Linked DNA regions of Mytilus edulis. The protein of the gene in region 1 binds, or shares a complex with, the protein of each later gene. Links are inferred from orthologs where the notes say so. Each region holds a gene or a part of one and is shown in the gene's direction. Other genes may lie near its edges. The genes, in order: small nuclear ribonucleoprotein F, U5 small nuclear ribonucleoprotein 200 kDa helicase-like, serine-threonine kinase receptor-associated protein-like and U6 snRNA-associated Sm-like protein LSm5.

The links.
Region 2: small nuclear ribonucleoprotein F (region 1) and U5 small nuclear ribonucleoprotein 200 kDa helicase-like share a complex: the UniProt entries of both Homo sapiens proteins name them as parts of the U4/U6-U5 tri-snRNP complex. The link is inferred for Mytilus edulis from reciprocal best matches to the Homo sapiens genes SNRPF and SNRNP200.
Region 3: small nuclear ribonucleoprotein F (region 1) and serine-threonine kinase receptor-associated protein-like share a complex: the UniProt entries of both Homo sapiens proteins name them as parts of the SMN-Sm complex. The link is inferred for Mytilus edulis from reciprocal best matches to the Homo sapiens genes SNRPF and STRAP.
Region 4: small nuclear ribonucleoprotein F (region 1) and U6 snRNA-associated Sm-like protein LSm5 share a complex: the UniProt entries of both Homo sapiens proteins name them as parts of the U4/U6-U5 tri-snRNP complex. The link is inferred for Mytilus edulis from reciprocal best matches to the Homo sapiens genes SNRPF and LSM5.

What each region holds. Positions count from the first base shown.
Region 1 is NC_092344.1:16,047,574-16,054,984, forward strand, and holds the start of small nuclear ribonucleoprotein F, read left to right. Parts: upstream 1-4,384; 5' UTR 4,385-4,467; coding exon 4,468-4,473; intron 4,474-6,433; coding exon 6,434-6,559; intron 6,560-7,342; coding exon 7,343-7,407; intron 7,408-7,411. Other genes in the region: mediator of RNA polymerase II transcription subunit 20-like, read right to left, coding at 457-599, 3,172-3,206. UniProt on the Homo sapiens protein: Plays a role in pre-mRNA splicing as a core component of the spliceosomal U1, U2, U4 and U5 small nuclear ribonucleoproteins (snRNPs), the building blocks of the spliceosome.
Region 2 is NC_092347.1:15,196,524-15,204,094, reverse strand, and holds the start of U5 small nuclear ribonucleoprotein 200 kDa helicase-like, read left to right. Parts: upstream 1-4,560; 5' UTR 4,561-4,753; coding exon 4,754-4,798; intron 4,799-7,571. UniProt on the Homo sapiens protein: Catalyzes the ATP-dependent unwinding of U4/U6 RNA duplices, an essential step in the assembly of a catalytically active spliceosome. Plays a role in pre-mRNA splicing as a core component of precatalytic, catalytic and postcatalytic spliceosomal complexes.
Region 3 is NC_092353.1:16,536,604-16,543,452, forward strand, and holds the start of serine-threonine kinase receptor-associated protein-like, read left to right. Parts: upstream 1-3,827; 5' UTR 3,828-3,883; coding exon 3,884-4,049; intron 4,050-6,653; coding exon 6,654-6,789; intron 6,790-6,849. UniProt on the Homo sapiens protein: The SMN complex catalyzes the assembly of small nuclear ribonucleoproteins (snRNPs), the building blocks of the spliceosome, and thereby plays an important role in the splicing of cellular pre-mRNAs.
Region 4 is NC_092357.1:54,417,715-54,425,192, reverse strand, and holds the start of U6 snRNA-associated Sm-like protein LSm5, read left to right. Parts: upstream 1-4,461; 5' UTR 4,462-4,557; coding exon 4,558-4,597; intron 4,598-7,277; coding exon 7,278-7,373; intron 7,374-7,478. Other genes in the region: kalirin-like, read right to left, coding at 4,192-4,258. UniProt on the Homo sapiens protein: Plays a role in pre-mRNA splicing as component of the U4/U6-U5 tri-snRNP complex that is involved in spliceosome assembly, and as component of the precatalytic spliceosome (spliceosome B complex).

The sequences.
Region 1 (7,411 bases):
GGTTGATTATAAGCATGAGCACTCTAGATTCCGCTGACTGCTACAGTGTAATAAGATTTTTTATTTTGGTCTATCAATGAAAACAAGTGAATATCAATAAATATTTTTTAGTTGAGAACAATGACACTTACATTGTAACTTTTTTGAGATTGAGAAACATGAAACTATTTAAAAAAGGTAACTCCAGGTAATCCAAAGGGTACCATAGACAAATTCTGCTAGCCTAGTAATACAAGTAGTACACATCATAATGTTGCTTACAAAAAATAACCATCTGGTCATATTTGAAGATGAGTAATAAATGAGGAAAAGGATGGGAGAGTTGTTGCAACAACAAAAAAAAAACAAATTCTGTGGTCTTCTTTGATAGATATGTCAACCATGTTATAATAAGATCCCCTTACATAAATAATGATTCAAGGAACAATTACTTTTTTTGTACAATGTATAACTTACTATTCTGTGAATTTGACTGGTAAGTTTCACAATCAACACAAAAGTTTCCAGATCTTGTAGCTCCTAGTAATTCTACATTTTTCTGTAACATATCAACTGCTTGTTGTCCACTCTTACCCTCAGGCACAGCATAGCTAAAAATACTACAAAGACAAAATTAGAACAAAGTTGAATATGATTATCAAAAAGGGATATCAAAGGAAACTGAAAAATATAGGACAGAGACAGCCAAAATTTGGCCCTTAATTTCAAACAATAGCATATATACATATATTGTAACCTAATTACCAATACTTGCAATCTTAAATGTGCAAAATTAAAAAAAAATAACACATAAACTAGATATTTTCAAAAGTTTAGAATGCTTTAAAAAAATAAAAAAATTGGGAACGTATCCAAGGGACACAGATTATGCCTTCACTTACTTGTGACATTATAAACATGATAAAGGGACATAACTCAAGAACAGTAAAGAAGTGATCTCAAGTCACCCAAACCTGTACTTGATCTGAGTTTTGTGGTAATAAACATTGTGTATAAGTTTCATAACATTTGGTAAAGGAAAACTTAAGTTAGAGAAAGACAAATTCAGCAATATTTTCAATGGTAAGGGGGCATAACTCTTGAACAGTAAAGGTAACACCACCAAAATTTAAAATTGCTCTGTGTTTTGTTGTAATAACCATTGTGTATAGTGTATACAAGTTTCATAACATTTGGTTGATGAAAACTAAATTCAGATAACAGAAACCAATTTTGGGATGTATGGACATACAAACAAACAAAGGTTATATTCTCTCCTTTTCCTTCAAATTTGCTGTTAAACTGCATTTTAAACACTGGCCATACCCTTTGACCAAAATATATATGAAACAGAAAAATAGAAAGATATCTTTGAGATTTTGATTTTCACCATTAATGTGAGGAATTGTGACATCATGAAAACATAATTACAGGAATGCTAATTCGTTTAAACATATCTATTTATAGTGGATTGGAAAACAAGTTTTGTAACTAATATTAATCCCTTTCCACTTTTAGGAATGCTAATTTTTTCGTAACCTGGTCGTTTTATACCTGGTTGATTCGTAACTACGTTGATTTGTAACTGAGGCGTTTCGTACCTGGTGTAATTATATATGGTTATAAATTGTTAGTTTAAATCAATTTAATAGTTTAATTTAAACAATTATTTTCTTAAAATGATCAAAATGTTCATTTGAGGCCACACCAATTTGATTTGTACTTCTTAGGACAAAAGCTCCAAAAAATATTGGGCAAGCAAGAGAAATTTTTTTGATTGTATATATTTCAAGAAATTGAGTTTTGATGAGGCAGGTGCTCTACAAGTGGAGTGAGCGGTAAAATGTGTTTTTTTAAATTGTGCAATTTAAAACTTTATCTTCATGTTCAAACTGGGTTACTTCAAAGAAAAAAAAGGAAAAACATGATCCATGTCTTATGCATATAATTAGATGTATGTGTGATGGACGTTAGAGTGATCTCGTACTATGTCTGTTGAACAGCTGAAACAATGATTGGGGATGACAATGGATCTAACGAGTACAAATGTGATCGTGGTCATCTAACGAAAGATTTTTTATTTTATCTCCTAGAACAGGTCTTCATAAATAAAACGAAATGCATTTCAAATAACTGTGTGTTTAATACCATAACTACTGGTACTCTATAAAATTGAGAATGGAAATGGGGAATGTGTCAAAGAGACAACAACCCGCCCAAATAAAAAACAACAGCAGAGGGTCACCAACAGGTCCTCAATGTAGCGAGAAATTCCCGCACCCGGAGGCGTCCTTCAGCTGGCCCCTAAACAAATATATACTAGTCCAGTGATAATGAACGCCATACTAATTTCCAAATTGTACACAAGAAACTAAAATTAAAATAATACAAGACTAACAAAGGCCAGAGGCTCCTGACTTGGGACAGGCGCAAAAATGCGGCGGGGTTAAACATGTTTGTGAGATCTCAACCCTCCCCCTATACCTCTAACCAATGTAGTAAAGTAAACGCATAACAATACGCACATTAAAATTATCTCTGTACTCATGGTACTTGTCCTTTGCAATAAACTGACACAACTTCATGTTGGCATCCTAATTTTTGACCTTTTATTAACAAATCTATTTATCACACGTGCATTTGAATCGATGGATGTGCACAAGAAAAACATCTATGAGAAAAAAAAATGTCAAGGATAAACAAAAAAATGTCAATGATAAACTAATTTTGGAGCGGCATGCGGCCCAAAAATTTGCAGAAGAGATAATTATTTTTTTCATTGAAAAGTCAATTTCTCCAAAACAGGAGCAGGAAAATCCAAAGAACTATTAATCAAATTGGTGTGGCCTGATAATAACAATATTTTCAATTAAAACTAATTAGTAATTATGCTCGGTGACAACTTTAATGGTTTAAGGACAACTAATGGCAGGTAATAAAAAGTAATAACAGTAGGTACAAAATGAGGTATAAAGTGAATAGTAGAGTATTAAAAATGGCACACAAGCTGAAAAAAATAATTATTTTCTCCTTTTTTTTGTCAAAGATAGAATGAATGGTTGTCGATGACAGCTTTGGTGTTAAGGTTGTTGTGCCATCACTCTACGTCGTTAATAATGGTGGGATGGATTGCATAAACACACACCAACTTGCATTTGGCCACTGTCGACTGTTCAATGTTTTTGAACATACCGTAGAACTACTCGTAGACGACCAACTGGAGCCATGTCCTTTAGCTTGTTAAAGTCAGTACTCATATGCTCCACTGGCCATTTACTTATGACTCGCACTATTATAAATATATTGTAATTATAAGGTTACAAACGTCTCAGTTAGAAAACGACCTGCATCCCATTAGATACAATATTTTTTATAATTTAAAAAGTAAGCAAAAGTTTTATACATATTTTCATCAATTTTCTATAATTCTACATTTTTTTAAATAGTAAATTTTATTTCATGGGAAAAAAAATACTGAACTCAGAGGAAAATCAATTCGGAAAGTCCATAATCACATCATGCACATGGCAAAATCAAATAACAAAACGCATCATAAACAAATGGACAAGAACTGTCATATTCCTGACTTGGTACAGGCATTTTCAAATGTAGAAAATGGTGGATTGAACCTGGTTTTATAGCTAGCTAAACCTCTCACTTGTATGACAGTTGCATCAAATTCCATTATATTGTCACCGATGCATGAACAAAACAAACAGACACAATAGGTAAAAATGTCAAAAAATAGGGGTACAGCAGTCAACATTGTGTTATCATCCTAATCACTAAAAACAACAAATGTAACGAAGAAGCACAAAAAGGCATACATCAAATTTTTTTCAGTACCAGTATTAGCTCTTCAAAAACCTGGATTTGAAGAGGACTGTACATTGACAAGGACAACAGAGAGACAATAGATACCTGACAATAATTGTAGATTTAAACTGTGTCACTGAGTGGACCATATCAACTGAAACTCAACAGTTTGTTAATTTCATTATCTTTAGCAAGGACCAAAAAAAGTGCACAGTGAAATCTAGTTATTTTTAGTCTTCTACAATATGAAATGACTTTGAACTTTTTTTAACCTATACAGATTGCGATTTCTTAAAATGAGTTAGGTGCATTTAAGCTCATGCATTGAACCTATTTCAAACAATTACCACACAACTCCCATTTCATTATTTTTGTACAACAAGGGACATAACTTAATATTTTATTTATTCATTGTTTTCAAACAAAACGAATTTTAGTTTACCATATATTAATGTGTAACTAAATTCATAAAATTCTAGTTAATTTAACTAAAATCGCTTCTTTTGATGTAATTTCACTAAAATTGATGTATTGTGTAAAATTTAGAATAATTTTGATTAAAATGTTTCGTTTTTTTGTGGGTTAATAATTTCTTATTATTTATTAACCACCGGCGGCGAAACGAATAGACCACGCTGTTGTTATTAATCGAATCACACAAGAAAACACACGATGGCCGTACGTATATACTGATCATCTTCGATGCACAGTTCTTAGATTAACCCTACTTTTCTGTAAAATGACCAATCTATGAAATTCCGCTTTAAATAAAGGGAATCCAGGATGTCATATAAAAAGGGGGAGGTCATAACAAAGCGCATTTTATTTGTGTATGCATTTTGAGACTACTATAACACATGCATTACACCATTATCTTGCATTTCATTTAAATTTATCACTTAAACCTACAAAAAATAGTTTATGACGCAGAGCTAAATACTGATACTATCAGTGATGGGTCCATCTTCCAATATATGTCAATCTAAGAATTAGTCTATGTCTGTTTATCTGTTTATACACCTTATCGCTAAATTATCCCGGCTGACCCGACGGCTTGAACTTTTGACATCGTACACAATCACTTATCCATTGTGGCGTCAGATATTTCGTTTATGACGTCAAAATTTTATGGGAACCTGTGTGATATCCAGTAATGGTGGACAAATAGCGATATGGTGTATCAGTGGTCTAGCTACAAAGTTTGAACAGGGCACAACGCCCGTGCCTTTTTTCTGCTGTCCCTCAGACGACCTGCTGATTTGTAAATCTTCCATGAACAAGAAGTTCAGCTACCTGTGCAAACTGTCAAATTAAGTAACCCATTAAGTGCATGGCTTCTTCTGACAGCTTTGGTGTCAAACACATAATTGTCAATTAACACAAATAATCTTAGCTTTAGGTCATGCAACATAATTTGTGTATATCAACAAAATAAGTTACTTCCCCTTATTTTCCACCTGTTCACACTATATTCTTTAAATTTATGTTTCTTTTTGTAAAAGGATTAAAAATTAATTTAATGCAAATGCATATTAGAATATTTCTTTAAGTTATTTTCACTTGAATACACTTCAAAATTAAATATTTTGAAAATTATATCTTTACTTCCATTAACTGATCTATCAAGTGCAATCTAGTATAAAAAAATCACAAAATCTGTTAATACATTGGTGAGACTGGTAATATAACAGCAACTACATACATGTTATATGAAAGAAACAGCTTCCTGAAAGGGTCTCAGCATCATGACCATAGATTTATGAAGTCAACCATGAAAAATTTGCCAAAAGTATTGAATTTGAAATATATTACTCCATTTTAACTGAAACTTGAATTTACAAGAATGCATAGTAAAAGTTATGTGCTAATTAATTATGAGGCTTAAATAATTGCCTTTTTTTCAGTGACATTAATTAACATGTAAAATTGCCCTTTTTTCAATGGCAGTTACACGTAAAATTGCCCCTTTTTGAACTACATGTAGCACCATACCCTTTTCAAATCCTGGCTAGAACACTGTGTATTATAAATAAGCCTGTTTGACAATTTTGGGCAATTCTGTTCACTGAGCAATTATAAGAATTTGATTTGCCAAATAATTTGTGCAATATACATTGTAGCATCATATCACTTGCACAACATAGTAACGGAAGTGAAGATGCCCATAAACATTCGAACAATGTTTACTAAAACGGAAGTTATTGCTGGAAATGTAATGAATTCAAAAGCTGTCTATAAAATGAGCATTTTGTTTAACCACAAATTGCCTGCAGAAATTGTCAATAAATGTACTTAACAGCCTAAAACAGAAAGTTCAACTATGCTATTTTGAATTTCCAGTGGAAGATAAAAGTTTCAGTTCTAAACCCAATTTTATAAATCTAGACAAAAGAAGGCTTTGAAATGTCAGTTGATGTAGGACCTACATTGTGTACATGTACATGCAAGATAATAATTAGCTGACTGTTTTTTTTTATTACATTATACTTTTTATTGTTAAGAGATGAAAAAGTTATGGAACATACATGTAATGTTATAAACATGTACTGTCTACAAACTTGTTTATATGACTTATTTAGTATGATATAATAAACACTATTTTGTGTATTTGTTAACTTTTTATTTTGTTTACTTTTAGGCTTTACCTATGAACCCGAAACCATTTTTAAATGGACTAACAGGAAAACCAGTGATGGTCAAGCTAAAATGGGGAATGGAATATAAAGGCTACTTGGTATCTGTAGATGGTTACATGAACTTACAGGTCAGTTGATTTATAGACACCAATAAACATTATGTAGAAGACTTGCCTTGCAGTACTTTTAAGTTTTGTCTCCTTGAAAAAAAATTGTCATAATCATGAAATATTTTATTTTTAAACATTGTGACTGTATTCCAAAATGGTTAAGTATAATATATTTCATGATTATGACAATAAAGGGAAATTCACTCTCTATAAAGAGTGGTTTAGTTTACTTTGGTTTTTGTTGTGCAAATAAATTTCAAGATCCATTTTGATTGTCTTTTATTTATGAATTTTCTTTTGAAATCACAACAGATTTTTTCTTAAAACACAGACAAGCAGGACTAAAGTTTTTGTGTGATCATTTCTGTCTGTTTATGTTGAAACATGATAAATAATGCACATTCTTAATATTTGAGGTAAATGCTTCTACACAGATACATGTATAGTCATTTATATTTTAGGTGAAATGAATTAAGAATAGTCAGGCAATAATACATGTAATAAAAAGTGGAAAGTTTTAACTTTGATTTTTTTATGAAAATCGTACCAACAAAATAAAAAAAATGGCTGTGCCCTTTAAACATGCTAAATCAGATATTATTATATATTATATAGTATTCATGTTTCATTTTTTTGGAATTATTGATAAACTTGTTGATAAAAGTTACATGTAATGATATTTTCAAGATGTGAATTATAATATCTCATACATGTACATGTAGATAAAAATAAGTAGATCTAGCTTCAAGGAAATGTGAAGTGATAAGTTTTACTAAAGCTTTGTGTATTTTATGTTTCTAGCTTGCTAACACAGAAGAATTCATTGATGGTATTCAGACAGGCAATCTTGGAGAGGTTCTAATCAGGTAT
Region 2 (7,571 bases), on another chromosome or scaffold:
ATTGAAGGATTTTTTTTCAATTTTCAAATTTAAACAGTAAGTGATTCACTGCCCTGATTCAAACTATGGCTGCAAGTTTTGTGCTTAAGTTTCATATAAGTAAGATGACGAAAACTTTAGCATAAAAATTTAGTACAATGTAAAATGGGTAGGACTGAAAGGTGGATTGACAGAAAGAGGAACAAGAGTTACACTTATTGCACCCATTGAAACTCATTAAAACTCTCTTTAATATTCTACAAGTTAAATGTAGATCATTTTTATATAAAATATATAAGTACTAAATACATGTAGCTGCATTGTAGCAAGAATTTGTATAGTATGTAGTCTTATTTTACAAATCCTTGATCATAGATACAAACATACAGTCTTCTGGGTACCATGATTTCCTGAGGATTACAGAACAAATTAATATCCCGAGGACAAATTGATTTGTCCCAAAAACATGATTTTATATTGTGTTATATTGCTTAAACTTGTATAATTACAAGGTCTGAAACTTTTTAGTCGTAAATACTCAATATAAATACAAGTTATCTTCAAGAGATCGATTCAGGGGTTCAAATTAACATTTGGTACTGGAAGGTCCACAACCTAAATTCCAGGTCCTACTTTTACTTGATATATTTCCTAACTCAGTAAGATACAAAATTGATGACATGCTTTTGATGTAAGGTTAATTTTAGCTTGTTTCATTGACATTGTCAAAATCACTGTTGCATGACATGTTTATTAATAAATGTAATTATCTCAGCTTGTATTTTATAAATTCAAATAATCTTTCTTTTTAGGTATTTGGGAGGGTGTCACTGTGGGTGGGTGTTGTCTCAACCATGGGTAATTAAATACTAGTTAAACTTTTATATCAAACAGTCATTTCAAATTCAAAGTTGTTTAAGTGTATTATATCAAGTTACGCTATTATACATCTGTAAACAGTAAGAAACTTCTAGATTTTTACTGGCCCTTCAAATTTACAAGAAATTTATTACCTCTTGGAATTGTAGTAATATTTTACACTATAAAAAATCTGCATGGAATATGAACATTTACATGTACTAATGATAAAGAAAATTACTGTCACATGTTTTTTGGATTTTGACATGAGCATTCGTGAACTAAAAGTAGTTTTGAGTTTCTGCATAAAATATTTTCTGCTTTTTCTTTCATTTAGCATGTTCAGAACTAAATCTTTTAGTTTTCAATTCTAATGTTTATATTTCATCATCATAGATGTATTTCATCCCCTGCCTGGAAGTATCATTTTGATCGGCAAACCTGGAATTACCCTTATCCATCCAGGAACTTGATAAAGTATTGTAATTTTTTGCATTTCCGGTTTTATGGCATCCATTGTTTTTCAATGTTGTTTTTGTCAGTCAGATATGATTTTGGTCGGTTTTACACATTACTGCTGGTTAAATTTCAGTATAACCCTAGTGGTTGAACAAAATGAACATTGCTGTCATAAATAATAAAGATGAAAATAAATTTTGAGATCGTTTGGAAATTTTGGTTAAAAAGGTTGGCAAAGATTATTTTTATTTTCCTTCAGGTCCAAGGTCCGTAGGTCGTAGGTAGTAACCAAAACGAAGGTCTGATTGCAAAAGTGGAATGTCACGGACCTCAGACCACCGCTAATTTGAACCCTTGCAATTGGTATGCAAATTTTTTAAGTTGTCTACCTTTTGGATAATTACGTCTGCCATATTGTTTTCAACAAGTAATTTGCATATAACTTACAAGACATGCTTATCAATTCACTGAAGTTAAATTGCACTTTATTGAGTAAACACGACTAATAACTTCTTCTTCTTCTTCCGTTAAGGAGTTGACCTCATATTTGAGTGATTTACTAACTCCGCTCGGTAAAACAGGAGGCTTCTCCATTGATTAAAAGTAAATATTAACAAATAATTAAAACTATATATACACTGTACAATTTGGCAGGCTGATGTCTAGTTAGGCTGCATCTGGGTCCAGGGCACACTGGCTAATCTGGCCCTGAACTCCTCGAGTGTTGGTGCAGCTGCTACTGTGTCTGGCAGAAGGTTTCAGTCTCTTATAGAGCGTGGGAAGAAGGAGTTGTTGTATACTTCCTTAGTAGCTCTTATCTGTCTAAGTCTGTGAACTTAAAATTAAAAACTTTAAAAAAAATTTTAAAAACTTAAAATTATATCATGTATATACTTTGATATTATTTTAAGAACTATAATACCATATTTTCGATGGTAAATCAATTTGTCCTTTGGATATTAATTAGTTCTTGTAATACCCAGGAAATTGTCTGGTCAATACACCTTATCGCTATTCCCAGCTGACCAGAGAATCTGTACCGCTTGAACTATTGACGTCATACAACAGTCACTTTCCATTGTTGTGTCAGATATTTTGTATTATGATGTCAAAATTTTAAGGGAACCTGAGTGATTTCCAGTAATTATGGCAGACAAAGAGCGATATCTAACGACAAACGATAGCCGGACCAGAGGTAAAAACAGCTTCTTCCAAGAAAGGGCCACAACAGACGCCTTCGGACAATCATTTTTTCCAAGGACCATTAGAGACTGGAACCAACTGCCAACATCCGCAACATCAGCTGACACAGTTGATGGATTCAGAGCTGCCCTGAAGGCATGCTCTGCTAAAATTTAGACAGTAACATCCTGTACATAGTTTTAATTGTATATATATAGAGAACGTTTTATCCTGTAAATAGCCAAGAGAAAACTTTCTGTGTTGTCCGACATTGCATTAGTTTTTGAGGGACCTCATACATTCAAGATTTGAATTCGGTTCCTTACCTGGAAGAAGAAGAAGAAGGAAAATACAAACTTATATTGACATTGTAACCCAAAGTTTATTCAGTTATTGAATTGTTTTTGGCATCAAAATACCATATATCTGTTTAATTGTACTAATCATTTTCAATAATTTTGAATCAATAGTTTGGACTATGTGACTTGCAATATAATGCCAATGACTGTCCCTGAAATAGCATACCTGCAAATTATTGTACTTTCTTTTTCTCGATTTGTCGGTGTTAGATTTGAGCTTTAAAATAAATGTAGACATCAGTTTTATAAAACGTTTGAATGATTTTAAGCACGATAGGGTCTCACTAATTAGTGACAACAAGCGTCAAAAAGCGACAACAAGCGTCAACAAGCGACAACAAGCGACAAGAAGCGACAACAAGAATTATTTTAGCGACAACAAGCGACAAGAAGACTATTTAGCGACAAGAAAACATTTTTTTTTATTAGATATAAAGAAATTTGTATTTAATAGTTTTTTTTAAATATACGAGCAGATATGTCTCAATTAAAATGTTTTATTATATTGTTAGATGAAGAAATTTAACATTTGTGAAGAAGAAAGAGATTGAGCTTCTTTTTTTTATTTTTAAATATGAAGAATAAAAAAATTATGTATAAGATAATGCACGGGGGGGGGGGGGGGGGGGGGTAACTTCCTATTATTGGGTATACGGGGATGTGCCAAAAATATGGGTCATAATTTTGCGAGATTTTATATAAAAATGACCCTCCTTTTTAATGACATCCTATATTAAAATGCATTTACGTTTGATAATTGTATATTGATTTGGGGTATGATCTACATATCATATATAAATATGCTATTGATATGTGCACCAAACGATTTCAATTCATATATAAAAACTTAAGGGTAGCTGGTATATTTATGAATTATGAGTGATGATGAGTTAGTGCTTATATAAGCATGGGTCATATTTTAAATATTGTATATAAGTATATGTCATTCTTTCTTAAATATTTATATAACTATAGGTACTGAATTTCAGTGAATGTTATATTAAAATGGGTACGTTTTTTGAGACAAAAATGGCACACCCCTACCAAAAAAATATCGAAGTTACCCCCCCCCCCCCCCCCCCCCACCATGAGATAATGTAAGTATCTTTTTTCATCAAAGTCAAAGTATGAATAAACGAATGGCGATATATATGGAGCGGGCATAATGGAATATAATATTTTGATTCTAACAGTATAATTCATTGTTTTAAAAAACAAATTATAAGATAAATAACATGTTCTTTACAATGGAACAATGGAAAAGCAAGGATTTGTATAGTACTATACAAATCCTTGGGAAAAGTAATCTCATAATACAATAATTAAACGTAATACTGGCTGTTATTCATAATAGATGATAAAATATTATGTAAATAATGTTTCATTTTTTTCTATCAATTTTAACTTTCTTGTCGCTAAAATTATTTTCTTTTGCATATTCTTTTAATATTTATTGCAATAATTTATTTTAATTAAAAAAAAATGTTTTCTTGTCGCTAAATAGTTTCTTGTCGCTTGTTGTCGCTAAAATAATTCTTGTTGTCGCTTCTTGTCGCTTGTTGACGCTTGTTGTCGCTAATTAGTGAGACCGGCACGATATTCTAATTTTAAATCAAACACGGAAAAAAAACATAGAAGAGCTTTTTATCGTTCATATTGACTTTCTTTGGAGAGGAAAAAAAATGAGAAATAATTTTATTGAAGGATTCACTGTTCTTTTCAGAATAAAACAGTTTGATGGAGGGATATAACAGTTGAGTTATACAGAACAAAAAAGAAAAAACTATCCGGAACTTTAAACCGGAAGTGTACTGCCATCTAGCGTCTTGAACAAAAGCGAAACGAAATACAAACGTAGCCGCATGGAATAGAAAACAAACGCTAAATTATTTAAATAAGGATCAACCGGAGGGAATATGGCTGATGCAGCGGCCAGATCGCTTCAATATGAGTACAAGGCTGTAAGTTAATTTGATAAATGGCCCAGACAAATTATGTCTTATGATAAACGTTACTGACTGATTGCATTTTTTTTTAGAAATGACAACCAACTTCGGGATGAACCATAAATTTTAATAACTTTCTTCAACCATCCTGGATTAATTATTTTTCTACCAAACTTGGACAGATGCTTGTTTATGATCACAAGATAGCATCCAGAGCACAGGTATTTGGGGCATGGACCCCCCTTTTTGGACCTCACTAAAAAAAAATTGTTTGGTGTTTTTTTTATGTATTTTCAATTTTCTACAATGTATGAACATATATCAAGTCTCAACAATCCATTGCTAGTCGATTGCAATAACTTTTTTACTATCCATACGATCCCCAAGTGAAAAAAGAAGAAGGTAATTACCTTCGATGACTGACCTACTTTCACTTTGGAGGATCAGGTCAGGAAATCGATAAAAATTTCATATAAAAACTCACTTACTTTTCATAAAAAGTACATCCTTAGATTCCTGAGATATTTTTCTCGACGTTTAAATAGGTCACATGGTGATCTGCGGAGGTTTTGTGTCTTGTTTTACTGATTTTGTTCTACATTTGTCGTCCGTTTGAACCTCGATGCACGGAAGTGAAAATACAGCGCCATCTGCGTGGTCTTTCGCTATGTTTCTATAACTCCTTTTGACTAAACTGCTTTCCTGTTAACTGTTTTTTTGAATTTTTAAAAGACCGGCAAAAATACTTTTTTCGAATATCTCTTACCTTTTCTTATAGCTACATTGCATTCGGAACCCATCTGTAAAACTGGTAACCAAAAACAGGAAAGCAGTTTAGTCAAACGGAGTTATAAAAACATAGCGAAAGACCACGCAGATGGCGCTGTATTTTCACTTCCGTGCATCGAGGTTCAAACGGACGACAAATGTAGAACAAAATCAGTAAAACAAGACACAAAACCTCCGCAGATCACCATGTGACCTATTTAAACGTCGAGAAAAATATCTCAGGAATCTATGGATGTACTTTTTATGAAAAGTAAGTGAGGTTTTATATGAAATTTTTATCGATTTCCTGACCTGATCCTCCAAAGTGAAAGTAGGTCAGTCATCGAAGGTAATTACCTTCTTCTTTTTTCACTTGGGGATCGTATGGATAGTAAAAAAGTTATTGCAATCGACTAGCAATGGATTGTTGAGACTTGATATATGTTCATACATTGTAGAAAATTGAAAATAAATAAAAAAAAACCAAACAATTTTTTTTTTAGTGAGGTCCAAAAAAGGGGGGTCCATGCCCCAAATACCTGTGATCCAGAGCAGAAGTAAATTTGTGAAATATAAATCTTGTTTTTCCGTATTTTACTTATATAAAATAGACGTATTTACACTTGTATGCAAATTTGTCCGCCATACACCTTATCGCTAATCCCGGCTGACCCGGAGGCTTGAACTTTTGACGCATACAACAATCACTTTTTCATTGTGGCCTCAGACATTTTGTATTATGACGTCAAAATTTTACGGGAACCTGTGTGATATCCAGCAATGGCGGACAAATAGCGATAAGGTGTATTACATAAATTAACACAGGTTCCCGTAAACTTTGACATCATAATTTAAAATATTTGACGTCATAATTTAGAATATTTGACGTCATAATTTAGAATATTTGACGTCACAATTTAAAAGTGATTGTTGCTTGACGTCAAAAGGTGATTCGGAGTCGATCTAAGGTCAATCGGAGGCAAGATACAGCTAAATACCAAAAGTGTAAATACGTTTATTGGGTGAGTTTTTCTTAGTTAAACTAGTGTTCTCCCCAGAAATTTTGGATAGCATCACATTTTGCGTTAAAAAAAATAACTGTATTTTTTTTAATGTCGTTTGTCGCGTCGTGTTGATGCTCTATTTCCTTTACTTTTTAGTTTATATTGTTCAATTCATAACTGAGAATACAATTAAACTATAACCACAAAAACAGTTGTTTCAGTTTATGTCTTCTTTGTTCATTTATAGTTACAGAATTATTTTTTTCCTCTTGTGCCAAATAAAAATAAATATGTGGTTTCAGTTACCCAACAATAAGTCAAATGAATGAATTGTTCATTATAGTGCAACCTGTATATATACAAAACTAAATTATCTAGTATACAAAATTAACTGCTTTTTATATTATATCAAGTAAAGATAAAGTAGCAAAAGAAGCAAAAAAATCAATTTAAAAACTTTTTTTATCATGTTTATGAAATTCATTGTTTCATGCCACTCAATGAATTAGTCCCAGTTGTTTCTTATCTTTACATCAAATTCATATGTATTTTTAACAAAGTTATCTAACAAATAGTCTGGTAATGCGTAGTTTTCTCTCTTGGTTTTTTTTTCTGTCTACTGTCCATCTGTTGTCATTATCGTGAAAATGCAGATTTTTGTCATATCTGGTCCGGTTCCGATCCGTAGTTTACACAAAAATGTGCAATGGCGGCCGTAGTAAAATTTACGAAAATGAGTCCGAGAATAAACATTGTTTGACAAGAGATTGTGAATGAATAAGACGCTTTTAATGCATAAAATGGATTAAACATAAACTGAAGCCAATTATGATAACTTTTTAAAGAAGTATAAAACTTATTTTAGCTCTAAACCAAAATTCTCGCTCTCGTATTACCGGAAGAGAAAGAAAGTAATTTTTGGGAGAGTTGCACAAATAAACGACCTTTTTTGAAAATAATAAAAATCGTTTCAATCTTTGAAATTTCGTAATACAAAACGTAGATTTCGAATTGTT
Region 3 (6,849 bases), on another chromosome or scaffold:
TAATGACAGACACAATAATGACAGTAGACATGCAGAGAACATCACAATAAGGTCATAACAAGCACAGAACTACAACTGCTATGATGCCTTGCAATAATAATTTGTAATCTTAACTTACATGCTGCATTAAGAAATTACACATATTTTAATTCTTTGAGCTAGCCTAACATGTAAAAGAAATACAACGTAGCTTTTAATTCTTGTGATTCATATTTAGTATATTTACTCATTGTACCTATGTGTTGTAAAGCCGATTTAGTAAATAAATAGTTTACCATGAACCAGTATATTTATGGTAAAAACTATAGTTACCCTCAATGCTCTAAATGCATGGCATACTAAAACAAAATGGTACTCAGTTTCAATACAATTATTATGACAGCATATAAGATCATATAAAGTTGTGAAAAATTTTCTCATTTAAGGAAGGAGTTAATCTACAACTGTTTTATAAAAAAAACATTACTAATTCCACAAATATTGATTCTCAGTTTATGTGGTTGTTAAGTAATGAAGACACTGATGTATGTAAAAGTATAGCTGAGTACATAAACATGTGTTTTTTACTTAGAATATAAGTGTAAAATTTTTGTTTGCTGCTTATATTACACTAGAGTTACTCCCCTTGGAACACATATACCTTGATACTTGTGTAGTATTAGTTTTAGATGTTATTCTTTGTAAGTAAGTAAGTAAGTAATTTTTATTGGTTTTAAAATCCAAAATTACAGGATTGATACCAAGACAATACAAATTTGTTATACACAAACATACAAACATCTATATATCATACCAAATTCACAAACATTATATGAGGAGGTGGTACCACAAAGTTATTTAGTGCTTAATAAAGCATTTCTAGAAATGTACATGTCGCTTATAAATTTAACAATAATTCTAATTATATCAGTCTCAGCACACGTATACAAAAATTTAAATCTTTCTTCATTAGTCATACTTCTCCAGGTCACAGTGGCACCCATAACAACTATTTTTTGTCAATAACTTGGTTTATATCAGGTTAATTAGTGTAAATGTGTATTCATTCAAATGTACTTTAATCATTCTAATCATTTTCTGTGCTTTATTTTGTAATTCATTTGATTGTATAGCTCAAATTTTGGGCACCATGATTGGTTAATAAAATTATTTATCTATTTGAAAAAGAGGGAACTATTTCACTAATTTTGGAAAACAGTTGGTCTCTAATTATATTTAGTTTTGTACATTTTAAAGTGAAATGAAATTCATCTTCTACTTCTATGAGGCACAAAGGACAAATTCTTTCTTCTTTCTTCTTTTTTGTATCTATGCTATTAATGGTTATGTTCATAATTGAGCTTTCTTTAATAAAATATTTCGTATTTCGTATAAATATACAAAGTTCTATTACAATATTGTCAAAACGAGCCGTATGATCTTATATAATCAGTTTTAATGTTCCAATACGTAGTTTAGTGAGTAAATTGCTATTCAAAATTTTAGTTATCTCCTTAACAAAAATTATTTTTCAATTTTCTATATTTAACACAGTTTTCACAATCGTTCGAAATGCGACATTTTATATATCTAAATGTTGCGTTAATTTTCTCTAGGTCAATTCATACACAGGGAGGCTATAAATATCATATACAATATTAGGTTTATCATATATAATATATGCAACAAAAATTTTATAATTCTATGTTTCCTTAAAAATGAACATATTTTCAAGTAGATTACCAAGTTCACCACAAAATAAGGTGATAAGTAAATTTTTAGCAAGCTTTAACATAAAACGACAGAAACGATTATGAACGACTTCTAGGTCTTTGACTCGATGAAATCCCCAAATTTGAGACGCATATTTAAGTATAGAGGCCACCATAATGTTAAACAAACAAAAATGCTTGACTTCGGTCAATATAAACCCGCATAGAGAGTGTTGAATAAGGCAGAAAGTGCCTTTGTTCCTTGCTGATAAATCCTATTCTGTGAGTGCAAAAACTTTCAATTGAAATATAGCAATACGCCTAAATATGCATATGAATTTACAATTCAGTCTTGTTCATGGTTGTCAGAGAAAAAATGGTTAATTACAGGTTGCCAACCATTTCTGAAAACGACTATTTTTTGTCTTGTTAGAAATATTAGTTATTTTCCCCCATTTACATTAAAACAGTATTATTGTCCATTGGAATACTTTGAATAACGTCATTCACGAAAAAATTAAACAACAGATCAATGTGATAACGGTCACCTTGTTTCACTACCAAGAAATTGTCAAACCACCTCTGAAAATGCCCTCAGCCCCTCTAAACGAACATTCGGGCTTATAATATTCTTTAAAGTTGTACCTTCGAATTCTCCGGATAACTAAGTAATCGTTCAGTTAATATCGATGTAGACAATTTTGATAAAACACGTACTATAAGATGATCATCGGTCCGGAGATAATTATTCAGGTCTGTTAAGTCACAATTTTTTAACCGCTAAGCCTATTAATTTACAAAACCGTCCGACCACTTACCAGGATACAAGCCATACCAAAACATTAGGTTGAAGAGAGTTTAAAAAACAACAACTTGTATTATGTGAGGGGATGACCTTTATCGGGACTCCGGGATCGTGTGTTTTTAAGCTCAGAATTTCGGAATTGATCCTTTCGGGATCCGGGAATTCTTTTTTCGAATTTCGGGATTTCATGTTTTTAAGCCCGGGATTTCGGGATCAGGACCCCTCCGACCCCCTCCTTATATGTCTCTGGTACATATATCCATGTGAGACAAAAAAAATCCACAAGAGCTCTGCTCGAGGGATTTGAGCTCTTGTACTTTGGTATTATATTAGTTGAGGGTTGATACGTTGATACTTTTATTACAGGGCCGTAACTACATTGAGGCAAATGCCTCATGTAGGAAATTTCAAAACCAAACGCTTGTCTCCATATCAAATTGTGTTCACCGTGAGTGCCTTGCAAGAACGCGTCAAGTTCTGTTCTCCTTCAGACGTAGCCCTTGATTTTTCGGGATCAATGTTTCTTATCATTATTTGTCTTTTGTTCATTAATTGCCCTTCTGTATTCTGTTAGTTTTGCATTTATTTTGTAATTTAGTGATTTTCATGAGTTTAAAAAAAAACAGCTGCCACAGACTTAACTATGTGAATTACATTTTTGCTTTATCATGCATATTGGTATTTTGATGTTGTCCCTAGAAACTTCTTTGAGACCAACATATTGTCAAAAAATTACTAAAACAGAACTTGAATTTTCAGATTAAGAAAGGATCTGGGGAACACCCAGTCTGAGAAAGCATGATTCTTGGGCCTTCAGTAGTTCCAAAACCCCGCTTCAAATTTTTTTTTGCCTCACTCCGCTCGGCGAGACAGGTTTGCCAATACTTTTAAAAGACCTTAGTTTCAACCATACTTTAAATACTGTGTATGTATGCAGTTGGAAATAAAGAACCCAACGGTTCGTTTCTGCAGAGGAGGATGCCGGATTAATTCTGATAAATGGTACATGTATAATGACTTGACTTGAATAAAACAAATGTTTAAAAATTGTATGTTTTCAAATATCATAAATATAGTTGTGAAAATAAATAATCAGTTCCTTGCTTTAATCATGTTAATGTAAATGAAAAATCTTGCACAATAGTGCAGAAAATAGATAATCTGTCCAGTCTTAGTTTACAAACTAAAGAACCGATCCAAAACAAATCCTCCTGCCCACCCCCAACCCCCTCCCCAGGAATATCAAATGGTACGTCGCTTTATAAAACCCCAGCGAAATGCAGTGTTACAAGAGACTCGTATGTAACACCTAATACTGATCGATGGTTATTATGGTCCGAGGTTAAGTGTCGTAAATCGGAATCCAACCCGGCTTGATTTAGTTTTTATGATAAATAACAACCGGAAGTGCATTTCGAGGAAAGAAACTGGAAAAATGACAAATCAAATGAGACAGACACCTCTTACTTGTAGTGGCCATACAAGACCAGTCGTCTTCTTGGATTTTAGCGACATCACTCCATTTGGTTACTTTCTTATCAGTGCATGTAAAGGTATATATCATTAAGATTTATTGTAAAACATTGTGAAATATGTTATACGTATAATACGTTCGTACCAACAGGCACTTGTTTCTATCCATGGGAATACCCACTATCAACGTACATTTACGTACCACATGCACTTGTTTCTATCCATGGAAAGACCCACTATAAACGTACATTTAGTGGTTCTTCCAATGGATAGAAACAAGTGCCCGTACATGGCGTAGTCGTACATAACAGGATGTCAAGAAAGTCACTAAAAAGTTCCCTGGGGTTTTGTGGTCTAGTGGTAAAGACCTATTGCTAAAATTCTGAATTTCCTGGGTTCAATTCTGACTCTAAAGGGCTAGTAGGGGTGCCTAAAATATTAGAAGGATGATGATTTGTATTGGTATTGGGTCTGTTCACTGACTCTACACGTGTTTTCCCCCAGGTCCCATCCCTTATTGATTTGTGTCCGCCTTTACTGGTCAGCACACAGGTTCCTGTATAATTTTGACATCATAAATATCATCCGCGAGCAACAATAGGAACCTTTTTGGTGAGTGAGCACTGCGCAAGCGCAACACATTGTGTTAAGTGGCTGATATTTTGCAACATCTAAACGAAGAAAACCTGATTATCTGTTTATCGTTCTATTAATACTGGTCTTTTCCCACTTCTTCGTGTTCCTAAGACATTATTATGCTTGACAAAAGCAAGCTTGATAACATCTCCTCTTGCATTGTGAGGTCGCTGATAACTTCTCTCACATTGTGATGTCGCTGATAATGCCTAGTCTCGTTTTGAAGCCTTGATACAAGAATTACGAAGCGACAGAGCACGGTGATATAGGCGTTGGGAACATGGATCTGGAAATTTTTTCACCTAATTTCGGTCATTTTCATATAACTTAAAAGTTGGTGCCCCTTTTCAAAAAAAAAGATTGTCAAAATCTCATTACTGTATGAGTATGCTCATACTCATAGCATCAACAAACTTGTTTCACTGTCGCATCGCATTTACTTCATGATTTATTCTACCATTTTTCTAAAATCGATCAAGAGCAATTAAGGGAAGGCAACAGTTTAAAAATAAAATGATTTTAATGACTCAACACGATAATTTTCTCAGTAATCGCTTACATTTCTTTCTATTTTGAAGGTGAAAGTCGATCAAACCTGATGTAATTCGACAATACTAAAATGAACAATTCCGGACTAATTTCTGGGATTAGTTTTGTTTATCAAATTTACAGGAAATCATCAGATTTTTAATATTTTACCTTTAACAGTAAGAATATTAATGAAAAATTTGAAAATAGTTGCACTTGCTTTATTTAGCATGAAATCATTCTAAATTTACGATTCAGTGTCTAATCTGTTGAAGAGAATTTCAAGCATGCATATTACAAAGTAAACAAAGCATGTGTTTTAGTAGTGAAAAAACACTTTTTTCTACGTAAATTAATCAAGTTTTAATTTAATTTTAAATCATAATTGACAATTGTCTTAGCTGAAAAGTAATTAAATAATGAAGACAGTTGGTATGGAACTTTAATTTCTTTATAATATTAGTTGGGGGCTTGTGATTAATAGCCAGGTGTGAATTAAAAACACAGGTAAAGAGATTAGCAATCATTAGCCAATAGCTCTCTTAGGCATTAATATACATTGAAGTTATTAGAAGGGCCCCCAGGATTATAACACTTTACTGGAGTGGCAGAATATAATGTAATTACATAAAATCGATGACAAAACAAAAATATGTTCAATATGGTGATTTTGAAACTCGATCTCAATGAAATGACCGAAATTATTTCTGTTGAAAATAAAATTTGACCTAAATCCCAATTACACGTTTAGGACAAAATACATTCAGTTTCAGGACCTTTGGTAGGGAAGGACAATAATATTTAATATCTTTACAAGTTTGAAAGTAAACATGGTAAATACATGAATATTAATTGCAACTTGATAATATCTTAAGAAATTTTGTATCGTAATTCCCAATTCATTCCGTAGAACTTTTACAATCATGAAAAGTTATCATATTGATACATCTGGTCTTCCTGTTTCAATTCAGAATCGGAAGATAAGTGTTGCAAAGTCATTAAAAATCATTTGCCCTCCAAATCTTTTCTTCAGCGTTTTACAAAACAAGAGCGAAATTTCTGGTAGTTTATGATGCAAATCGTCGATACCATTTCTGACTTTAACAGTGGACATCTATATTGAAAAAATAAAATAAGCAGTATATCAGCCTGTTACTATTCCTTACATGAAAATAAAGGAATGAAATGTTTTCTATAACACCACGCCATAGACACGGGATTTTGACATGGTGAAAGTTCCTCCATCGTTCAATTTTCATCCATGGAGATCCCTGCTAACATACCTTTTATGTCTACACAGAGAACAATAGCTATTGAATTTATTCATTGGGACAATAGAACTGACAAAAGTTTAAAAAGATCGAACAATAGGATATGAATCTATGGAAAAGTTTCATTTGAATTTGTTGGCAATAACTGAAATAAAGAAATCCCTTATCTTCTAGGCCTTCTTTGCAACTTCATAATGATGTAATTATTTAGTAATACATGTAGTTTATTTTCTGTTCTACATTTTGTAGATGGGAAACCAATGTTACGCCAAGGGGACACTGGTGACTGGATTGGTACTTTCGAGGGCCACAAAGGTGCTGTTTGGGGAGCCACTTTAAACAAAGAGGCCACAAAGGCAGCAACAGGAGCTGCTGACTTTTCTGCGTAAGTTTTCAGCTATTTAGTCAGTTTGAACCAATTTAAAACATATAAGTCCATTTCATT
Region 4 (7,478 bases), on another chromosome or scaffold:
CTAAATGTAGGAATTTTAATATAAGATATTCATGGAATAAATTGAAAAGTACCACCTAGAAACGTGGAAAGTACCAGTCAACATGATAGATAATGAAACCCCTGTCTGACCCTACTGTATGTGGGTTTTTTTATTGTTGAAGGTCTACAGATGCCTATAATTGCTAACATCAACTCTCTGAACTCTGGTGGATAGTTATTTCATTTGGCGATCATACCACATCTCCTTGTTTTATATATATTAAAACCTTGTATGATTGACATGTTCAAATTTTTCAGATTTTTGGTGTTAAACATCACATCTACATGTTGTGTACATGTAGCATTCAGTCCACATGGCTGTATAATGGCACTGCATTTGTAGGTAACATTTGGTCAAAATAGTTGCAGTAACCTGGAAAGAACCACAACCTTAGATAGGAAAAGATTTCATTCAAATGACTTGAGTAGGATTTAACCTCACAACTTCAACATTGAAAAAGAGGGACAAAAGATACCAGAGGGACAGTCAAACTCAGAGTTTGCAAATAAACTGACAACGCCATGGCTATAATAAAAAGACAAACAGGCAAATAATAGTACACAAGACATAACATAGAAAACTAAAGAATGCCATACACAAATTAAACCCCACCATAAACTGGGGGTGATATCAGGTGCTCCAGAAGGGTAAGCAGATCCAGTTCCACTTTTAATGTTAGGGGTTGGATAAACACACAACAATTCATCAAACTTTGTCACTATTGAAATCATGTACATGTACATGTACACATGCTATCATTTGGGATGGAAACCTGAAGACAGAATATGCATCATTTTCTATAATTCAATAAAAAAAAAAGTGGCAGTCATATTCTGAGCACTAAGTAAGATTTATATTTTCTGTTAGAAACAGTATGAAACAACATAATGAAAAAAAAAGTATAGATATTTTTGGCTCAGCATCTTGCATTAAACACAGTGAATACATTTAGAAATACCTTTGGGTTTCAAGGCAAGCATGAACAAATATTGAATTGAAATCATAGTAAAATAGCTATAACTACCCTCTTATTGATATAACTCCATCTTTAGTTGCTTGCTGAGGATGGTGGTTTAAATATAACATCTGAATGCACACATGATATCATTGATACACAAATGTCAGGGGCGTAGCTACCCGGAGGCACGACAGCACGTGCATCCACGTCAAAAAAAAAAAAGCAGAAGAGAGAGAGATGAGTTGGTCAATCGGAATCGGAGACTGTTGGTGTCTTTTCCGTCTATCCCGGATATAAGTTTGACAACCTTGTTACAAGTGTTGATGAAGCTGTTCATTCAGAAAAAGTTCGTAGCTTCGAAGTTGTGTGCACATTGATTCGGCATGCAAAAAAAGAAATGGCAAAATAAAAATTTATCAATTGAATGTTAAAGGAAACAGCTATGTTGTCACTTTTTTTAATTGATGAAATAAATAACTTCATTAAATAACGACATTTGGTTTCAAAATATTTTTTTTTTTGGAGATTATGACAAAATCGGAAGGTTACTTGTATCTTTTAAAAGATTTTTACTTTTGAATTTGTAATGCTCAGTCTAAGATATGTAGTTTTGGAGCACATTTTACAGTGTACAGTTCATCAGTTTGGAATGAGATGTACCAATCGGCATTAGAATTATCAGATCCCTTGGATATCGTTGAAAATATGCCGAGGCGATGTGGTTGACAGACTACCGGAGCCAATCACCCTGCAACCAGGCCAAAACATTATTTTTTGTGTTCATAGACCATATGATAAGGCAACTGGAGAGTGGAGTCGCGTCAAGTTATCAGAAAATCGCTTCTTTGTGCTGTATCTGCTTCATCATGTTGTAGGAAATATCACAAACAAACAAATCTCAATACTGTCTGAAACATACGAAACTGACCTAGCATGTAATTTTGACAAATTCAATTGGGAGGTTGCTCGATGCCGAACACGTACGCTGGTTTATAACATCTCGCGGGTGCTACCATGCCATGACGGCCCTGAGATCTATCAGTCACGGTACTACGTATGTAATTGAAAACAAATGTACGATCAACAATGAACAACGAAAGTTACATAGCATTACTGCATATTCATCGGGATTTCAGTGTGAATGTTGACAAAGTAATAGAGAAGTTTGTTTCTGCCCAGACCCGAATAGCAGATTTTGGACAATTTTGAGTAAATTTTGTATCACAAATATGTGTTGTTTATGTAACTATATTCAGAAGATTTATTAATAGTTTTACATTCATAAATTTTTATCTACATATAGCTCCTCTTATAACCGTCCTATGACCGAAACCCCGAAAAAAAAAAAATTCTGCATAATAGGGTCCCAAAAATTTTTAGCCTCGCTCCACTCAGCAGTAGTTGCATCCACATCGTTTCTTTCGAGCTACGCCCCTGAATGTATCCTGTGTTTTGCCTTCTCTTAGAATTTTTACTGTACTTTACATGTAGGTACAAAATGTAGTTCTACCCGGAAAACACTCAAGTGATTCTATCTGACATCACACACAATATCTGAAAGTATTGTAGGCATCACATTACCCAACGACATTGTTCAAATACAGGGAATGACCATACAGAATACAATGTAGACCTTAACACTATTTGGAAATTTGTGCAGCTTGACCTGAGAATCTGTGCCGCTATGACAATATAGACATATTCACACTTGTATGCAAATTTGTCCGCCATTATGTAAAATCACACAGGTTACCGTAAACTTTGACATCACAATTCAAAATATTTGACCTCACATTTAAAAAAGGCAGGACAGAGATTACAACTAAAAAAAAATGCAGGACAAAATTTTTCATCCTAGCCCCCCCCCCCCCCCCCCCCCCCCCCCCCATAAAAATCAAATGGTAACTCCCTTAGGGCTATGCAGATTTATTGCTATTGAACGAGTAGCTAGCCTAGCTGCTACATAGATATTGATAGCAGCTAGGCTAGCTACTCGTTCAGTAGACAAAAATCTATGTAGCACTACGTAACCCTACGATATTGAACGCAAGTCTGTTGTACAGTTACATGTTTTAAAAATAGAACAAATAACTCAGGGTGGCCAGGTATCATCTATTGATTGCAATATCTCACACTTTCAATATCGATTTCTCAGTACAGGGGTATTGTGCATTGCTGCTGTCGAGATTTTCAATTAATCGGTAGATGAAGGGGGTACTATTGAGGCTAAAAATTCATCTAGAAAAAATGTAAAATACGATCGGGAAAAGCGGAAAAGAACATATCTAGTGACATGGACAGAAAGATTCCCCTGGGCAAGGTCGGCTGTGGCGCCAGGATGAAATTACCGAGACCATGTTCTGCGAATATTGCCAGTGTTTTCCCGACCATCCCAATAAAAGGTCTCCCTTGTATGTGTGGGCAACTAATATAATAATTAAACCACTTGTTTCACACGATAAAACCAATAAACATGTTTTCTCTGCCAGAAAATAAACTAGTTTAAAACGGTGTATAATGTCCCCTTCAAAACATGACACCCACCATGTATTATGCAGCAAACTCTGATTTGTAAGGCATACATGGGCTAGCAGGTCAGTTTTGATGGGCTAGCAGTTCTTCGAACAGGGCTAGTAAAATCCTGCTGCCAATAAGTCCTGGGCTAGTTATCTGTAACAACATTTTTTAACCCCTGCCATTGTGGCGTCATATATTTTTCTATTGTGACGTCAAATATTTACAGGAACATTTTTCTTTGTGATTAGTTCAAAGCCAGTTGAATGTGGGACATCTTCATTATACATTTGTATCTCTTGATTATAGTTTAAGTGTGATTTGGGAGTGTTCACAGAACAGATATATTGCCAGGCCATAATCCACACTACACACCATACAGTTTAATAATCAAACTCAAATGTTTAGATACCAATTTCCAGAGTTTCATATATATGCATGTTTTCCAAACATTCATAAATTATTTTGTTCTGGACAAAAAGTTTATATCAAAATCAAAAGTATTGTTGATTAATTTATAATAAAACTTAACATTAAGACAATTTGATACATAACTTTCAAAACTAGTGTGTTCAAAGCTTAAAACATGAGAAAAATTCAGTTATCTTGCTGTTTGGCATTTATTTTGGAACACGCAATGGACCATGACGAGATAAACTTCATATAAAAACAGTAAAGTTTTCTTTGTTTTTCTGTACCTGGGCGATAATAGCATTCCACTTCTCTCTCATTAGTCACATCTTTTCTGTGCTCTTGATTGTTCATGTCTTTTCGGCCATGAGACGCTCTAATTGCTCTTTACAATAATCAGCATCATTGTGTAGCATCTTCATCTTTTTCGGCCATCAAAATTATTATTTCGGTAGACATCGGATATTTCCGTAGCTTCCGGTGGAATTTGTCATAGTAGGCGTGTTCGACTTTACCGCCATGACTCATTCCTTCTTCTTAAGTATCAAAAACCCCGAGAATAAATTTATTTTTAGTGTCGAATCGGCCTTTTCTTTCGTTATCTCTTTGGCCTTTTCTACTTTGTCAACAAATCCACATGTGAGAAACCCACGATGACAACTTTCTCAAATCCATCTCAGCTACTTCCACTTGGTAATTTGTGCTAAGTGTACGATAATAGATAGTGTATTTTTTACTGGCTTTCAATTAAGGCTGCAATTTTGGAAGCTTGTCATTTCAAACCATAAATGTACAACAGTTTCAAACCATATCTATGACCATATAAATTTTTAAAAAGACCGGTATATAATTTTTCATGTGAAAGAGGTCGAAGTCTGTACAAATACTGTTCCTGCTTTTGTTAAGGGTACACTTTCTTTGACTCAATTGGTTGGAGGCTGCATACTTTTATAGATACTTTTAACTGTAGATCTCATCGAATGATAGTGGGTCTCATAATTTGGGGTCTAAGCGTGACGCGGGATTGCCAATTTTTTGTAAGCGGGACACGTGAAAGTCAAATTATTGTGTCGTGAAAACGGGAAGTAAGGTCTAGCGGGACTCTGGAAATGACAAAAAAAATGAAAATTGCTTACGTACATAGTGTAAGCGGTATACGGAAATCTAACAAAACAGTAAGAGGGATCCTTTGTAATTTGATGGTACATTTCTTCTCTATAACTCTCGTAGTTGGGGCACTCTGTGAGGTAGTCTTGTTGTGTTTCCTTAGTTCCACAGCTGCATAAGTCAGTGGTGTTTTGCCCTGTGCATTGTTTATAGTAGTTAAAGGTTGTATGGCCAGTTCTTAGTTGTATAAAGATGATGAAGTATTTTTTGGTTGGATAATTAAAGATTGGGATGTTTTAAACGTTTGGTGTTATCTCAAAAAGTTCTCTTCCTGTGTTGCTTAATTCCCATCGTCTTTGCCACTTCAGCATGACACTCTTGTGTGCACCTTATTTTACATCTTGAAGGGTAAGTATGTTGTTTTTTTGACAGGAGTTGTGTTGCTTCTTCTGCTGCTTGCTTTGCCAATAAGTCCTCTTCGTCGTTCCTTTGAATATTTGTGTGTCCTGGTGTCCATAGGATGCAAATTTCCATCCATTTAGTTCTTAGGTCCTCGATGTGTTCTCTGATGTCTGGAATTACATCAATATAGGATTTGGGTGCCCAATTTAGTGTCAGGAGTCCTACTGCACTTTGATTGTCAGCTAGAGAAGATCTTAAGTGTGGCGGTGGTTTTGTGTAGTCTTTCCAGTATAAAAAATTCCAGTACCATTACAATTGATACAAGCTCTGCTAGACAATTCGTAACTACATTAATTTGTTACCAAGACGTTTCGTACCGGGTGTTATTATATATGTTCTGGATCATATATACATAAGTATGTGGACCAAACGCGTAATGTGTATACTAACCTTCTGTGTGCATTGAAATCATGATCTTTGGATCATTCTGATGTGTCTACGATGTTTATAGTTGCTCTTGATTTCAGACGAGACCGGAAACATTTAAAAAATGATGAACAATTTAAATTCTTCTGTTCTCTTCGTATGTTTGCATACCTGTCAACTGACCCGTATTCTGCGGGTGTGACCCGAGATTTTCACAATTCTGAGGGATCACCCGGGACACCCGGGACACCCGCCGGGTCATTGAAATAACCCGGGAATTCCGAAAATGAACCGATTTCACCCGTATTTCTTAGCCTTGAGATTGATTTCATAAGTAATATTCCTTTGAAATACCGGCAAATTCGTAATTCAATGAACAGGAAGTTCATCTAGTTATGTAAACTGTCAAATTAAGTGACCAATTAAGTGCATGGCTTCACTTGACAGCTTTGATGTCAAACACACTATTAATTAACACCAATTACCTTAGATTTAGGTCGTAAATAAATTGCCCTGTTGTTTTACAAACATATTTCAACTAAGAGTTATTTCCCCTTATTTGTCACTATTCAAAATTATTCCTTATATTTACGTTTTATGGGTGAAAAAGATTAAATCATAAAAATTCAAATACATATTGAAAAATAACTTTACATTATTTTTATACCTTTATACATTTTTTTTTAAAAGTTGAAAATTATTTTTTACATTTATACTTCCTTTAACTGTATTACTATATTTTATCATAGTCTAATTTCCTTCTGAATTTGATGATGGAATGTTTTAAGGCTACATTGCCAGTAGCCTCAAACATTTTAAGATTACATTTGAAAACTAAATTCTAGTATTTGATGATCACAAAAAGTAAAGAACATAAGACTGTTTTACACAAATTATAAAAGTCTTTAAAATTGCAAATAATTGTTAGGATTTAAAATGACTTAACCAAGTTAACATGCATTGATGTTTTGGTATCTTTGATATACATTAAATCATAAGAAAATGTACCATAAATACTAAAATTCAGCTCGAAAAAGTTCGTACGCGTTATGACCTGAGATTTGATTCTTCAATGCAGGTCATGACCTGCATTTTCATCGTCACAGGTTGACAGGTATGTGTTTGCAAAACTGTACTTGTAAACTTAACAGTGTAAAATCAAATGTGCAATCAATTATTAAAATAAATAAATATAGATAGATATGATATATACATGAACATGATAACATCAATAAGTCTTTTTATCTACATGTATAATAGTCATCACATGAGCATAACTTATGAAAAGATGTTATATAAAAATCTCCATTTCACCTATTTCACTTATTTTTTGCATCCAATATTACATTGAAGTAATAAAAATTTTAAAGAAGAAATTGGAAATATTACGATCAATAGCTCTGACACTAGTTTTTAACTATTTAATTTCTCATTTCAGAACTGGTAGATAAATGTATAGGATCTCGAATCCACATTGTGATGAAGAACGATAAAGAAATAGTTGGAACTTTACTTGGTTTTGATGATTATGTCAGTATCCTTTTGACCTATTTAAAGAACAACTACCTAGGTCATGGTCTATTGTATGTCTTTTAAAGTGTCTGAAAAAAAAAGCTGAATGTCATCTTATCATTACTGA